3 linked regions of the Neodiprion lecontei genome follow. The protein of the gene in region 3 interacts with the protein of the main gene of each other region in a pairwise test. Links are inferred from orthologs where the notes say so. Each region holds a gene or a part of one and is shown on either strand. Other genes may lie near its edges.

Region 1 (5,436 bases), on a different chromosome or scaffold from region 3:
GAATCGTGATCACATTTGTATAATAATAATAATTACCATACACAGTCATAATGTTGCGTGCAATTGACACACCAAATAGTCTAATTTTTTGATAATATTAATAATATAAGCAACAAAGAGTGTACAATACTATAACTTAGACATAACTCTTAGTCATATACACCTACCATAAATGTGTTTTTAATTTGAACAAAATTATTACATTATACTACGCGCATTACATGTAGATAGCTGAACTTTGGTTTTAAAAATAATAATAGTCATTTTAGGTGACACAGAAGAGAAAAAAGAATGCTCGAAGAAAAACTTTTGGTGTCACTACGACTACACATAATGAATTACTATATCAAGACAATTCTTGCTCTCTACAACTCAATATAGTAAACATATTCCTTTTCTTCAATCACATCTAAGCTATTATTATTTTATTTTTGAGTTTGAATACCTTTTTTGAATGTCTACTATATTAATTTCATTTTATTCCCATGTTCTACTAGACATATAATTTGAATGAAAAGAAATCTTGAAATATCTTCAACACGTGTTTGAGTATCAAATTTTATTATTGGTATCGCGTTTAATATAAATTTATAATTTGAGGCAGTTGGCTAAATAACATGACAGCATGTTGCTTCGTACCAAAAGATTTATCCAGAATTATCTGTAACATCAAACGATAAAAAAAAGATGTATCAACGTTTATTCTTGCTAGTATTTTTTATTTCTACTTTGGTTTTTTATTTGTACTACGTACTGTATTCCAATTGACCTCGTGCTAAAAAAAAATTAAAGGGACTCAAAGATGCGGTGTTATTGATTGGTCAGTTTTATTTTTATCTCTTAATTTTTTCTTTCTGTTTACCATATGAGTGTATGTTATCAATAATTGCTACTAGTATTCATGAAATACCTGGTATATAAATCCTAAATCATATTTTACCAGATTATTGTAATGCGCAAACTCTATATAAATGTAATATCAGCATGTGTTTGATTAGTGAAAAACATTTTGAAACCAACTTAAGCATAGGTCATATAATTGGTCAGAGGTCAATCAATTTTAAGTTGCATACTTGACTGCATAATTTCAATTACGTATACAAAAAATAATACGAAATCATAATGATGATGAGAAAATAAACCAGTATCAAAAATGGATAGAAATTTTTTTAAATATGCAGAGATATGTACTCTAAGTATAATCGATTGTGCCTCTGAAAAATACCTCCGAATGAATCAATTATGTTTTCAAATCATTATCTATAAGGCGTGTCTATATAATAGCTATTGGCAACTATAAGCATGTATATACATGATAAATATAATAATAAACCTAGAAAGTAATTATCAAGAAGAACACGAGCCGTTTCATTTCATCCTAAAATTAAAACAATCTCTGATAATTGACGGTGTTAGTTCAAACAAAAAGCAATCACAAGGGCATTCGTTTTTTGAATTCTAGTGGTTCAATAACTGAAGTTATGTATTTCCATCATGTAGGTAAAAAATTATACAGTCGCATCTTTGTTACCAAACTTGATTTCAAATAATACTAGTACATAGTTTCTAAATGAAACGATATATTATTATTCACTCAGCAGCAAAGCACTAAAAAAAAAATTCTCATATTAAAGTTCCATAGGAAAGCAAGTGTTTCAAGAAAGCTACACAAGAAAGACCTGTGTACTTGATTTGCAGATTGTAATTGTGGATTAAATAAATTTCATAGTTCCGTTTCAGCTTTTAGTATACCATACAAATATGATTACAATGCGGTATACATATACTCTGCGCGAGACTAGCTTCAGTTTCCTGATTTCCTGATGTGCAGGCGTATCTGAACATGAACCAAATTAACATTATATTATCAACTAGTTTACCTACCAGGATGGGATTTCGAACAGTCAATCGCGAAAAAATTGTGAAATTTCTTTTTTTTCACTGTTCGTCGTTGTTGGCGCTTGTCATGTTTACATAGGACAATCACGTGCGATTGGAAAACATTTATCACGCACTGGTAATATATTTATTTAATTGTCAATTTTTTGTGATTTTTCGAAATTCGAAATGAATGAGTCGTTTCAACTAGACGTCTGGAAAGGGGATTGGGGCCTTCCTTCTGTCGATCTTAAGTGCTTAAATATTTTGGTATGTTCTTCAGTCTTAGTAAGGTTATGATCATCAAACTTGCATTATTCCGCATCATTATTTTAACAGAAAAGCTTCTTATCACATCGCAGTTTTCAAGATTTGATTATTAATCCCATCTTCAAATTGACCTGCTGAATAATCAACCAGAATATCTTATACACAGTTAAAATATCGTACCCTACCATCAATGTTTTCACAACAGCGAGAACTTCAGGTGTTTAAATTCAACTTGATCTAGATGTTTCCACTTTGTACCTTGTATTGTCATCTATTGATAGAAATTTTTATTCCTCTTACTGGTTATATACTTGTGTAATTAACTGGTTCTCAGGCAAACTTTTTTTTTTCTTCAAAGACTTAAGTAGATTGATAATCATCTTTGTATTGAAACTTTACGTCAAAATTCTCACAGGTATTTTTTCCTCACATGTCCAATAATTATTTTGTAGGTCTATGCCAAATTTAGTGGAGTACCGCTCAAGATAAATCCTACTAATAATCCATTTCGGACACCAAACGGTGCACTACCTGTTCTCCGATGTGGTAGCGAGACTTTAGACTCAGTGAAAGATATAACTGCATTTTTTCGAAAAAAGAATTACACAGCTGATTTTAGTCTTACTCCTAAACAATGCGCTGAGGTCGTCGCATATGATACTATGCTTAAGGAGAAAATTTACCCGGCACTGCAATATGTTTGGTTAGTATAAAATAATAATCATTACCTACTAACTGTGCAGACAACAATCATGTCAAATCATCTCGTAGATCTGAATGAGTAAGTGGGAAATGTTAATTCATAGGCTTCAGAAACACGCTTGCGTGCATATGATTATCAATGCCCTAAACGTTAATTTTAGGTTTCAAATGTTACAGGTGGGTTGATGTAAAGAATTACAATGAATTCATACAGCCATGGTACGCCAAAGCACTACCTTTTCCTTTGAATTTCTTTTACCCTGGTAAATTTGAAAGACAAGCTAGGAACATGATGGAATCGCTGTACCCAACTGAAGGCGAAATCAGTGCCATAGAAAATGCGGTAAATAGAAATATTTTACAAATGCTAGTATTTATTTATTTGCACATCTTCAGTAATTATCAACTAAAATTGCAGGTGTATTCTGAAGCACAGAAGTGCTTGACACTGTTATCGACTCGGCTGGGAGAAAGAGAGTATTTCTTTGGCCCTCACCCTACGTCTCTGGATGCAATAATCTATTCATATCTTGCACCTTTGTTAAAAGCTCCACTGCCAAATCCTGCATTGCAAAATCACCTCAAAGCCTGCACAAATTTAGTCAAGTTTGTAACTCGTATATCTCAGAAATACTTTCCGGACATATGTCAAGAATATGAGAGGAAAAAAGCTGAAGAAAGTGTTAGAAAAATGCGAAGAGATTCAGAGAACGAATTTCCCCACAAGAAGAGAAACCAATTCCTTGCTGGCGTTTTTGCTACTGTAGCCATGGTCGGTTATGCTTTATCCACCGGCATTGTTGAGGTATGTAAGTAAGGATAAGTTGCATTAAAGCACTCTTAAATACAGCTCCAAGATATACACATAAATTATTAATAGATACTAGTCCAAGATTTATACAAACACAAAATTACGTGAATGATATTATTAAATGAGGCTTTAGACTAGTCTGTTACACCCATTCTTAATACTATGAGATCTCGATCTCACTGATCTTCAGTTCATAATTGCTAAGATAATGGTTTTTTTAACATTGTCACAAATCCTTTATCTCACATAGTTAACCAATCCTAATTTCATCATTATAACTTGTGTGAATTCCAATTAAAAACTTACAACAAGAATTGTTCGTCTTAGCTAATTGCATGGATGTGTCTGAAAAGGAAGATCTAATCTGTGTTTAAGTATGTTACAAAATTGTAAAAGCTATTGACTGATTCCGTATCAAAATTATCTCCCACACATCACAACAGAATTTCTGGAACAACAAATCGTTAAGGATCAGTAGGGCTCGAAAAAAGGATTTGTGAGCATAGATCTAAATTGATATAGGTCAATTCATAATCAATGTCATAATGTTAAAACCCCGGAGGTCCCTTACAGATTCCGAATAGAATGAAATTATGGGTGAAATCGGTAGGTACAACGAAAAATTCTCATCCAAATATGAAAATGTTATGGTCACTTGACAGATTCGTATCAAACAAAGAAACCTGGTGTTTTGGTATGTAATTTAGACATGCCCTATTAACGAACTGAGCATTTTCATACAAGTCTTTTCAAATTAACACCACACTTACTCCAATATTATGCGAAATAATCACTTGCGAAAAACATTATGTATCTGTTGAAGGTAACAAGAAATGATGACCGGATGTTGGAAGGGCCACCGGACTACATGCTTGAAGATCACACTAGAGATGAGTAGTATTTCGATATCAAATTGAATTTTAATCTCCAGAAGTGAAAACAATAAAAATTGTAAGATGTTAATAAATGGCCGTTATTTTCGAATAATGTTTACCCGCAAACTAGTACGTAGTCGTTCAATACTGTAAATCACAACTTTTTAAATCACTAGCTGTTTCTTTCAACTGAGATTATTCGAGTGATTTAGTTTAGACTTATAATCAATATTTGCAGTTATACGGTGAAGTTACTCAGATAAATTTTCATAAAAAAAACAGTTACTATCACGGTACAACGTATTATAAACGGACCAATGATTATGAAAGAAAATAAAAAAGAATGGCTTACATATCACTGACTAATGCAAATTCGGAACAGATACAGACATTATCCAGTGTTAACTATTGTGTACTTGAAGCTTGAGACACGTTTTATGCAACATAAGTGTAACAGCAGTGAAAAGTAATGCAAATAAATATTTAGTTACAGTATTGTTGAAGCTTTATTAGTTAGTTATTCCTACTTCGATATCTTCTTGTTATACTATTAGTAGCGCTTTGAATTTCCTCTGTGAACGTTTGGAAATTGTGAATTGTCGTACCACCTAAAATTATTTTTGTTCCTGGATTTTGTTTATTCCAATTATTCACAGCGAGACTTTCTTCATAAGTCGCACCGCCCACTATGAAAACAATAATTTCTTGAGGTCTGAAAATTTAGATGAAATCAAATACATGAGTACTGATTCGTGTAGTACCTACATTATATGGGAATTATTCATATTGCTTTGGAATATTATTATAATGAACATACCATTACTACGGTTTGCCATAATCAAAGAAGTATTCCAATAATATTCGTTCTAAATACCTTTTTGACATGACCATATTTCCTAA
Region 2 (3,659 bases), on a different chromosome or scaffold from region 3:
TTTCCGATTGGCATCATTTCTATGAGTTTATCTGATTTTATTGTGAATAATTACTTCGCTACTGCGAAACGCTATTTATGTCAATTTACGTAGTCGAACTATCGTGTCACTCGTGTCAGACACATAACCTCAAATTATGCGCAAGGCATCCACGAAAAAAACAGGTCGGTATGCATGCATTCTGCAGTGCCAACATAGTCAACTTGGGCACCGATTTTCCATTAGTGGCAACTAGCGCTCTCTTGCGCAAATTGCAATTGAAAAATAGCATAATGGACAAAATAAAACGGCATGGCGGGGGTTACATTAATAATTTCAAACCTTACCTATATTCAGGATCACGGCGAATGAAAATTAAAACCGCAGATTCTTTTCTCTCAAACGGCTCTGCGGTGTCAGTTGATGGATTATAACGTCGCACAAAACTCACCACACAAAAAACAATACTATCAATATAAACCATAACATCCGCGCGTACTTTGCACATTTTTTTCAGTTCAACGCAGACAAATTTCAACGGTACAGGTAGCACGAGAACATTTAGCAATTTACTGATTGTAAAATGGCGGCGCGATTGTTTGTCGATTGTTCGAATACCAGGAAATCACCGATCCTGCTGTAATCCACTGACAAAAGAATGATGACGAGTACGTGTTAGCTATTTTTCATTATAAATTTCTTTCGTAATCAACGGTTATTTAGCCGACTTTTACATTTTATCAACGAATAATCACACTCACAATTATCTCCCCATCTTGAAGATCTAGTTTGATCGGCATGTACTCGATATTAGGGTTGCTGTTGGGAAACAACCGAATTCAGCCCGGCGTTGTATTCAAAACAGCACTAACAGCCCAGAACCATATGCAACCAACTTCCGATCGCTGTTTATATACGATATCGACCTCGTACTGTATCCGCGTTGTAAAAAAAAATTTGAACTCAAACACAATTAATGAATGGACCCACTTCATAATAATCAAGCGTTCTACATGAATTAGACGATTCAAAGTTTCGAACATCTAGGATCGCATTAATTTAAAAGCGGAAAACATCCGACAGAAGGCCTGCAGCCGCATGGGTATTTGTTTACCAAAACAATTGAATAGTAACCCTAGCACCACCAGCTTCAGATTGTAGCGGAATAATACATAATCTGCAGGGGAATCTGTAGTACTGGCACGATAAGCACATTAATGTGAAATTTCTCCTTATTTTGGAAACTTTCTCATCGGTTGAGTTGTTCAAATCTAAAAAAAAAAATAGTCAGTCCTTATGGGATTCTCGGGTCAGAACAATTCTGTTGCATTATATTTATGCAGTACGATCATAGTTAACCGACTGATACCGATAATATAAAATTGAGCGTTACTGGCAGTGTTGACTTACAGACCAAGACTGACAATTGAACAGAATTACTGACTCGTAATGACGCTGCTTCGCGGGAGCGCCGTAAAGTGGCGCCATCTAATCCTAGTGAAACATACTAACTATGTCAAAATGTTGATTTGAGTTTTTCTTGCACATGGAATTAGCTGCCAGCAATTCATGGGCTGACAAGTTGCCATGTGACGTGGCTGCGGTGAACTGCTAGGTGGCACTCGTCAGAGATTCAGCAACGTTTAATTCGTTGACAGAGGTGTGCGTTCAGTGTTCAGAGCCGGTTGTTGCGATCGGGTGCAAAGTGGAGCATAAGATTTGTCACATATTGTATTAAGAGACTAATAAAAAAAATGAACAGGCTCATTGTTTTGTGCATTATCGCCGTCACCACCTCCTTGGCGTTGGCCGAAACTTGTCAAAAACCAGAAGTTTCAGCCTCAGCATACGTTACCGAAGATGCTACAGTCTTGACTAACATCGCTTTCACCACACAATTCACGCTAAAGTGTAGCAACGGCGCCAAAGGTGTTTCTCTATATGCCGAGGTCGAAGGAAAGACTTTGCCCGCAGTCAGACTCAGTGCGGACAACAAATATCAGGTATGTAATCTTAGTATCATCTCATTTCCGTCAATTGACAATCGATGATTGTCTGCCAAGTCAGCTTGCCACTTACAAGGAACATCAGTTTGGTGTCCCCCTCCGATTTCGTTGAGACTCATGTATATTGTGGAACCTTGAAAACTAAGCGACTAGTATTTTTTTTTATCTGCGGAAAAACTGTTTAGAGGGGTGAAAACGACTACCAGAGATGGACACCCAACGGGGTGATTTCTTGATGCGCTTGATGGATTCGAATGAAACCAACGCTGAAATATTTTATAATCGAATAGAAACATTTCAGCGTTGGTTTCATTCGAATCCATCAAGCGCATCATGAAATCACCCCATTGCTTGCCCATCTTTGGGGCTTGGTTTCACCACTTTGAACCGCTTTTCCGCAGATAAAAAAAAAAATATGTGTCTCTTAGTTTTTAATGTTCTACAACATACATGAGTCTCAACAAAATCAGAAGGGGACACTAAACTGATGTTCCTTGTTAGTAATATGGTATAAACTTGTACATGAGGTGAAGCGAATTGTTGTACGAGTTGGATATGAACTATCTCTTCCGATTGCTGACAATTTTTTGTAAAAATATCAACTTTTTTTATAGCTCTATCAAATATCTTGGCAAAAGTTATTTATCACCATTCTGTTTGTTTGGTACTATAGGTCAGCTGGACGGAGGATATAAAGAAAGCTAGATCAGGAGATTACAATGTTAATCTGTACGATGAAGAAGGGTACAGTGCCCTTCGCAAAGCAATTAGAAACGGAGAAGATCCGAGCAGTGTGAAACCTCTAGCTGTTGTTGTCCTCAACAACCCAGGTGCTTACCTTGGACCATGGATAAACTCTGAACTCTTAGCTGCATTCTTAGCTGCATTTGTTACATACACAGCATTCTCTGCCAAATGGAAGCTGTTATCGTAAACTAAGTAATTACAATTTAAGTCATGAATGATATTTTTAACTGCCTCCGGCTTCACTATTTATACTAAACCGTTAATTGGATTCAAATAGTTTTGTAAAATATCAATGTATCCAATATCGAACGATCAATCAATGATTCTCCTGGAGAACCAAAACTGTGACTGAATAAAATTCATTACTTTATCAATTCTAATCCCTAGCTTCTACGTTGTTCACTTTTACATAGGCGAATAAACAGGAAATACAATTACAATTTAGCTGATAATAATTTTTTATTAAGAATTTAATGAACATGATTCATTGATATAAACAAAAAAAAAAAACTCATGATAATTAATATCATATTCAGAACATTTCGAGTGGAGGATCATTGCCAAATAAGAATCTCCAAGACGAAGGTTTTCTGATTAATAAATTACCAGAGGCGTCCTTTGAGAAAAGTTCTAGCCACTGATTTAAGTAGTTAGCTAACTCCATTGCATCTGGGATGTTGTCTCCTTCTGAACAAAATCTGAGTAAGACCGCACAAGGAATATGGTTCTCGACAAAGATATCATATAGGTTTTTGGCAAAACCTCCACCTGGGATTGCAAGGACTTCGCTCCTGCCATATTCATCAATTTTACTTTCTAGATGTGTCCAGTTCAGGCTGTCGAACATTGCACCAAATTCTGATTTTATTTCCGGAGATGCAATGTAACGTAACGGAATGGTTCTGATCTGTTGATCTCGTTTTTCAT
Region 3 (5,921 bases):
AGTTGTATCGACGTGTGCTGTAAAATCCATGTAAAATCTGTATACCTGTGTACCTAGTTGCTTATTTGTGTTATCGCATGCGTGTATACATATGTAAGGAGTACGAACCACGTCCGTTCAACCGTCCCAGTCACGTAGTAATATACACATATTCGCACAATACTAAATCTGTGTGTGCGTGCACGGTAATCGCATGACGTCATCCTATGACACATACCGGAATCAACGAACTTTGCTTGATTTATGATGATTATTGTAAACAGACCGATGAGGAGAATGAAGAATCAGGGTCCAGGGGTAGGTCATGGTGTATGTACTTCGCAAAATTACAGCAAATGGTCATTCGTTTTTTCGTATTCTCGGCGTGGATAAATTTCAAATTTATTCGATACCATGCTATTTGTCTCACTTCTGTGTTATTCTTTCAAAATTCAACGTAAAGTTTCGTTATTGACTCTCCTGTACCAGCCACCAGATCACAATAATAAATACGGTATATCTAAATTCAGAGTGCATTGTCAAACGAGAGGGAAAGTTATTCGGAACAAGAATTGTTTGCTATATCGATTAATTGATTTCACAATTTGAATTGTTAATTCATTTATAATCGTCTATACTTTATTTAACACCTTATAAATTAGTATAATATTGTGATTTTTCCCATTTGCTTTTACACTATGCATCTACCTAAGTGTAAGTATATATGTATGCATGTGTACAGATAATTTAAGGGGCGATTTTTTAGCATGATTCTTCCCCTGATTTTTTTCTCAGTTTTTACAGCATTCACTTCATAATTATACTCAACAATTCGTATAATATTGAGGCATATATTACTTAACTTTTGCTAAAGGTTTACAATCGATCATTGATCAATCCGAAAATGCAGCAAATCATCGTCGTTTATTCGTGTGCTATACTTATACGTATAGTGTTTAAACATGATACGTATTAAAAACGTATATTTTCGTGAAACCATTTTGCAATATATATGTACAAAAATAGAAAACGGAAGCCTAAGCGAAACATCGAATAGAACGAACAGAGGAAAAAAATAGTTACAATGTGGTGCGCTATCGCATAAGTTATTGGAATACCAATGAAATAGCCTTCCTAATCTCTAATATTATACAATGTCCAATACCTCTTTACTCTCTAAAAATTCGCCTAAATTAGGTTGCTTTCAGTTTCCGGAATCGATAAACAGCCCGTTCTACGGAATAACCAGACTTTCTTAGGTCTATGCTGTCTTGTGTAAAATTTAAGATGGCAAAATCGATGAAAAATCCTCTCGTCACCATTTCTATCGTCATATTCTAGCGTATTTGGAAATTGCGTTTGAAAATAAGATCCAACTTTTGCAAAGTTTGAAACGCAGGATGAATTTTTGTTTCAACTCAATCATGATTTCCTTTATAAAATAAAACTGCATTTCAAAATGACTGCCGAAATTTACGAAATAATAATGTATTTCATTGTGGTACTTTAAAAAGTTGGACCGGAATTGATCAAACACATGTAAATTTTACGGCCTGCATAATAGAGTCTATTTTATTAAAGAAACATGTATACGAGGGACGTCGGTTTTTAAGAATCGCGACCACCTTAATGCTTTTTAAAGAGCATATTTCAGGCTTGTTTTCATTGAATTTTGAAAACAGGTTGTATTCGTTGCTGTAGTTCATGTAATTCTTCAACAAGTCATTTAGAAGGAAAAACGTGTAGATCAGACGTGTGTTTATCAAATCGTTAAAGATTTAGACGATGGTCAGTGACGGTGACGAGATTTCGGGAATTTTATAATTCTAACAATGAGAGGGAAAATTTTAAAGAATACCGAGGTACTCTACATATTTCTGCACAGTTGATAATGAAAATAACGACTCAAAGAATGATTTTTTCTTTAAACGGGGCAGTCTTATTCGGGATTTTCAATTTTCTTGCGGAGGTTCTGGATCGTTCGGATTTCCTCCCATTTGACGTCTCAGAGAATCTATCAGATCAGGATTTGCACTCTGCATTTGCTGTGCCAGCTGTTGACCCCTAGAAAAATACACCAATTTTTGCCATTAGAACATTCCGAGCATAGCATGATTACATGTAAACTCTATGAATATGAGATTACATAAAAAAATGAGATTGTAAATATTTGTTTACAATATGAATTTTTAAATACCCGATGCGTCAAGTTTTCATTTCACATTCGTGATAATAATAGATTGATTTCTTACGCCTCGATCAGAGCTTCCATTCGGCCTCCTTGTTCTACATTTCCGCTCATTAAATCACTCATCATGTTTTGCATTCCAGGGTCAGAGAGCATTAAACGAGCCATATTTCGAAGCGCAGGGTTACTGAGTAAGGAGCTCAAATCCATATTGGGTGCAGCTCCTCCTGCTCCTCCAGCCGAATTATTTCCAAGAACCATGTAGCCTACGCCCTGCTGGGCAAGTTTCTCTTCGGACAATTGTAAGTTCATTTTGTAACTCTCGTTACCCGGTTCCATTTCCAATGCCTTTTGATAACTCTGTTTGGCCTCTTTGTGCTTGTCTAAACTTGAATAAGCTAGCCCTAAACGTCCATAAGCCTTGCTGTAAGAAGGATCTATCGCAAGTGCTGTATGACAGTCCTTTATCGCTTGAGCATGATTTCCTATTTTACTATGCACCGCCGCTCGGTTGCAGTAATACACCGCGTTGCGGCTGTCCAATTGAATGGCTCTGAAACAATAGAGATCAAAGTATTTTATTGCAATATTTTCATCGCAAACAAAATCACTTGTTATTATTATTATTTCTTGACAGCCTCTCGACCTTTCAATGATTTAAGATTTTACAGAAAAATTCTGATCAGTACCAATAACAAGAGCAAGAATCAAGTATTCAGAATCATGTTAGAAATATTCTTCGTTCTCTTAAAATCGGCCGCTTAAATCACAAAACGAATTAAAGTTTCATCGGCAAGGAATATTGCGAGTCTTTGATACATTTTAAATGATTTCGTTAATGTTTCACCTACTTTGTGTAATTAGCTAAAGCTTCATGGTGTTTCTCAGCTTTCATAAGGTTGTTTCCCTCATTTTTGAGTCTTTCAGCTTCAGCTTTGGCCTCGGGCGTAGCCGGAGGTCCAAAATCAGGTTTGGCATTGTCGACAGCATTTTGGTATAATTCTAACAAATTAATGTTGGGCAAAGCATCGGAAGCTTGAACGTTGTAGGCACTTTCCAAACATTGAATTGCAACCTCCAAGCTCTCCCTTGAATTATCCGACAGATCGCCATCCTCCAATTGCTGCGTTAATAACTGCACAACCGATGCAATTAATCCTTTTACTGCCATCTTGAGTTTGAGTTAATAATTACTGGAAAAGAAACAAAGTCTTTGAGTTATCAAGACCGCCGATTCACATTTTTAACAAGAAAGAAAGATAGAAATAAGGAACAAATAAAAGAATAGCAGAACCATCTTTAAAGTTATTCAATCGAATATGGATTCATTTCTTTCTTGTGCGTTAGAAATTCGCAGAGAACCATTTTTTGTGGAATGAGGTGGCGAAAAAAAAAATTTGAAATCATTACGGACGGTGATTATCTGCTCATTCATCCTCAGTGGGAAATTAACCGCCAAGTTTTACCCGCTTTTCGCACATCTTACGCGTCCGACTTCACGTCTTACGGAATTATTGTTTTTAAATATCGATGTATGCATCAACTTGTGGTGAGGACTTGCTTTTAGACTTGTTATCCGTATTGCGTCGAGAGTAAATAGGCGCGTTGATAAATACCGACATAATTGATGGTAAAGTGTGATAAACGAACCTGCCTTTAAAGAATTGATAGTGAACGTGTTAAAACGAGTGGTACCAGCGCAAAAGCGGCGACAGCAAACGATTGATTAGGATAAAAATTTCTACGTGTCTACTCGGCTGGTAGGCCGGATCACCTTTTTTGTACGTACAACTTATACCTATAACCAAAAAGATTGAACTGCTGCGGCCGGCTAACGCTTTGAGCATAGAGTAAATACGTAAGTGAGACTGCCGATTTCGGGATGTTACTATTCTCCACCGCCAGAGGCGCTATCGTAATTTCCACTCCATTCTCCGGCGCCAAAACCAAAGTGTCATTTGTTAAAACGGCACCAACGACGCCACGACTCACGCAAGAAGTCGGAGCTTCTTAATTCGCTAAAGCAGTTTTATCATTTCACGATATCCGTGGAAAAAATGGTGGATATTTCGTCAAATAACAAAGTTAAAATGATTTAGAAATTGGATTGAACGCGACATTGAACATTTGTTTTAGGCAACAATGCAGAATTTATATTTCAGTAATAACGATATAATGTATAATAACACTTAACAAGGCATATAACATGGTGTATAATATAATAGTATATACGTATAACAATAGATTAAGTATGATGATCATGTAAGAATAAATTAGTATAAATTAATTTCAACAACGTTATTGGTAAGATTTACAATCTTTTTTTTTTTTGTTTTTCAACATTTTTTTTCTTTTTTCCTAATTTCAAAAATATTGAAATATTAAACATGCACAAGTGATTGAAGAAAATTCGAAATTTAATTTTATAAATTATTGACTGGCCCTTGTTGCACGATTTTGTAGACCGTGCTATTTGTCGTGGCACCGACAAAAATATATCGACGTTGAGAATAGTTGAACTGTGTCATTGTTTGAACACCGTCGAACCATTGTTGTATGCGCAATTGAAATCCCTGTACATAACAACGCAAAACTCGCAATTGAATAACTGATGTTGTATCTGCAAACTACTAAATTACGAGTATGTATGAAAAAATTTCTCTGATTTATTCTTACCCCGTAGTACATGTATTCGTAGACAAAAAATCGTCCTTCTTCAGTGGTAACGATTACGAAGGCATCACTAGTCCCAGAAGCTAAGGTACGAATAAATGGCAGTGTTTAATAAAGAAATCGAAGGCATGCGTAGAAAGTTTTCAAAAATTTGGCAAAACAAGTATGTGTGATCTGAGAATTTTTTACCTCCAGAATAAAATACTTCGATAGTTTTCACCAGCGATTGATGAAATAGACTTTGATAAAAATAGTAGTTATCAAATATTCTATTGTAATAAAAAATGTGTACAGAATTGGCCAGAGGATCATCGAGTAATACGAAATATTCGTTTTCCAGTATCAAACTCTTGACATTCTGGCTTCCTCCGGTCCGAAAGCTCCTCAACAGTTCAAACTGAAATGAAGTAAACCTCTTCGTCGTATGCGTATAGTTTGATTTTATAAACAGTTAGAAAAAAAGCATTGCTCACCTTAGATTTGCGTATTTTAAAACGATGGATCTGAGATTCGGCTGGGCGTTGTGCACAGGCTATAAGAAGATGTATTCCGTGCCTCTTGGTGGCAAAAATATCCAAAGCGATTGCACCACTCGTTCGAATTTTTTGCACCAAAGTAATTTCACCACTAGACAAGTTTATCTCGTAAACCAATGAATTTACTTCGTGGGATTTGACGAATGCGTCGTAGTAAATGGCAAGGACGACGTAGAATTTTTCTGCGAAATTACAGCAGAATTAAGAACGAATCCGAGAGTTTTCTGTGAAACTTGTTGCTCAACACCAGCATGTAGGCAACTGAAGTTACATTTTCTATCACGTTACGTGTTCGAAGTGTATCAAGGGTTGCCTATTTACTGGCACTGAGTGGTGAGTTTCACAGAAAACTCCCGCTGCAATTCAAACTTACTACAATCAGACGCGAACAGTACATTAAAGAAATTTTACCCCCGATCATAAAGGTCTTGGCATCGCTGAGATAACCGCCAATTTCCAAGCGTTCTGCCTCGACGTGTCCCTTGATCTGACCGGTTGGCATCTTCTCGGAAGTCATCCACGAAACCGTAGTGATTTCGGCGGCG

Evidence for each region. The genes of interacting proteins can lie anywhere in the genome.
Region 1: the proteins of small glutamine-rich tetratricopeptide repeat-containing protein alpha (region 3) and metaxin-1 interact in a two-hybrid assay, tested with the Caenorhabditis elegans proteins (2 studies listed by BioGRID). The link is inferred for Neodiprion lecontei from reciprocal best matches to the Caenorhabditis elegans genes sgt-1 and mtx-1.
Region 2: the proteins of small glutamine-rich tetratricopeptide repeat-containing protein alpha (region 3) and translocon-associated protein subunit delta interact in a two-hybrid assay, tested with the Caenorhabditis elegans proteins (2 studies listed by BioGRID). The link is inferred for Neodiprion lecontei from reciprocal best matches to the Caenorhabditis elegans genes sgt-1 and trap-4.

The regions. Positions count from the first base shown.
Region 1 is NC_060265.1:18,722,641-18,728,076, reverse strand, and holds metaxin-1, read left to right. Parts: upstream 1-2,010; 5' UTR 2,011-2,067; coding exon 2,068-2,148; exon of another isoform or gene 2,149-2,338; coding exon of another isoform or gene 2,339-2,365; exon of another isoform or gene 2,366-2,600; coding exon 2,601-2,851; exon of another isoform or gene 2,852-3,027; coding exon 3,028-3,193; exon of another isoform or gene 3,194-3,268; coding exon 3,269-3,655; exon of another isoform or gene 3,656-4,484; coding exon 4,485-4,559; 3' UTR 4,560-4,889; downstream 4,890-5,436. Other genes in the region: vacuolar protein sorting-associated protein 45, read right to left, coding at 5,050-5,248, 5,411-5,436.
Region 2 is NC_060265.1:30,905,544-30,909,202, reverse strand, and holds translocon-associated protein subunit delta, read left to right. Parts: upstream 1-1,554; 5' UTR 1,555-1,733; coding exon 1,734-1,982; intron 1,983-2,658; coding exon 2,659-2,919; 3' UTR 2,920-3,112; downstream 3,113-3,659. Other genes in the region: proteasome assembly chaperone 2, read right to left, coding at 3,265-3,659.
Region 3 is NC_060264.1:31,908,670-31,914,590, reverse strand, and holds small glutamine-rich tetratricopeptide repeat-containing protein alpha, read right to left. Parts: upstream 4,008-5,921; 5' UTR 3,957-4,007; exon of another isoform or gene 3,818-3,956; intron 3,361-3,817; 5' UTR 3,339-3,360; coding exon 3,019-3,338; intron 2,721-3,018; coding exon 2,232-2,720; intron 2,044-2,231; coding exon 1,932-2,043; 3' UTR 552-1,931; downstream 1-551. Other genes in the region: uncharacterized protein LOC107217600, read right to left, coding at 4,591-4,740, 4,844-4,923, 5,030-5,237, 5,314-5,558, 5,788-5,921.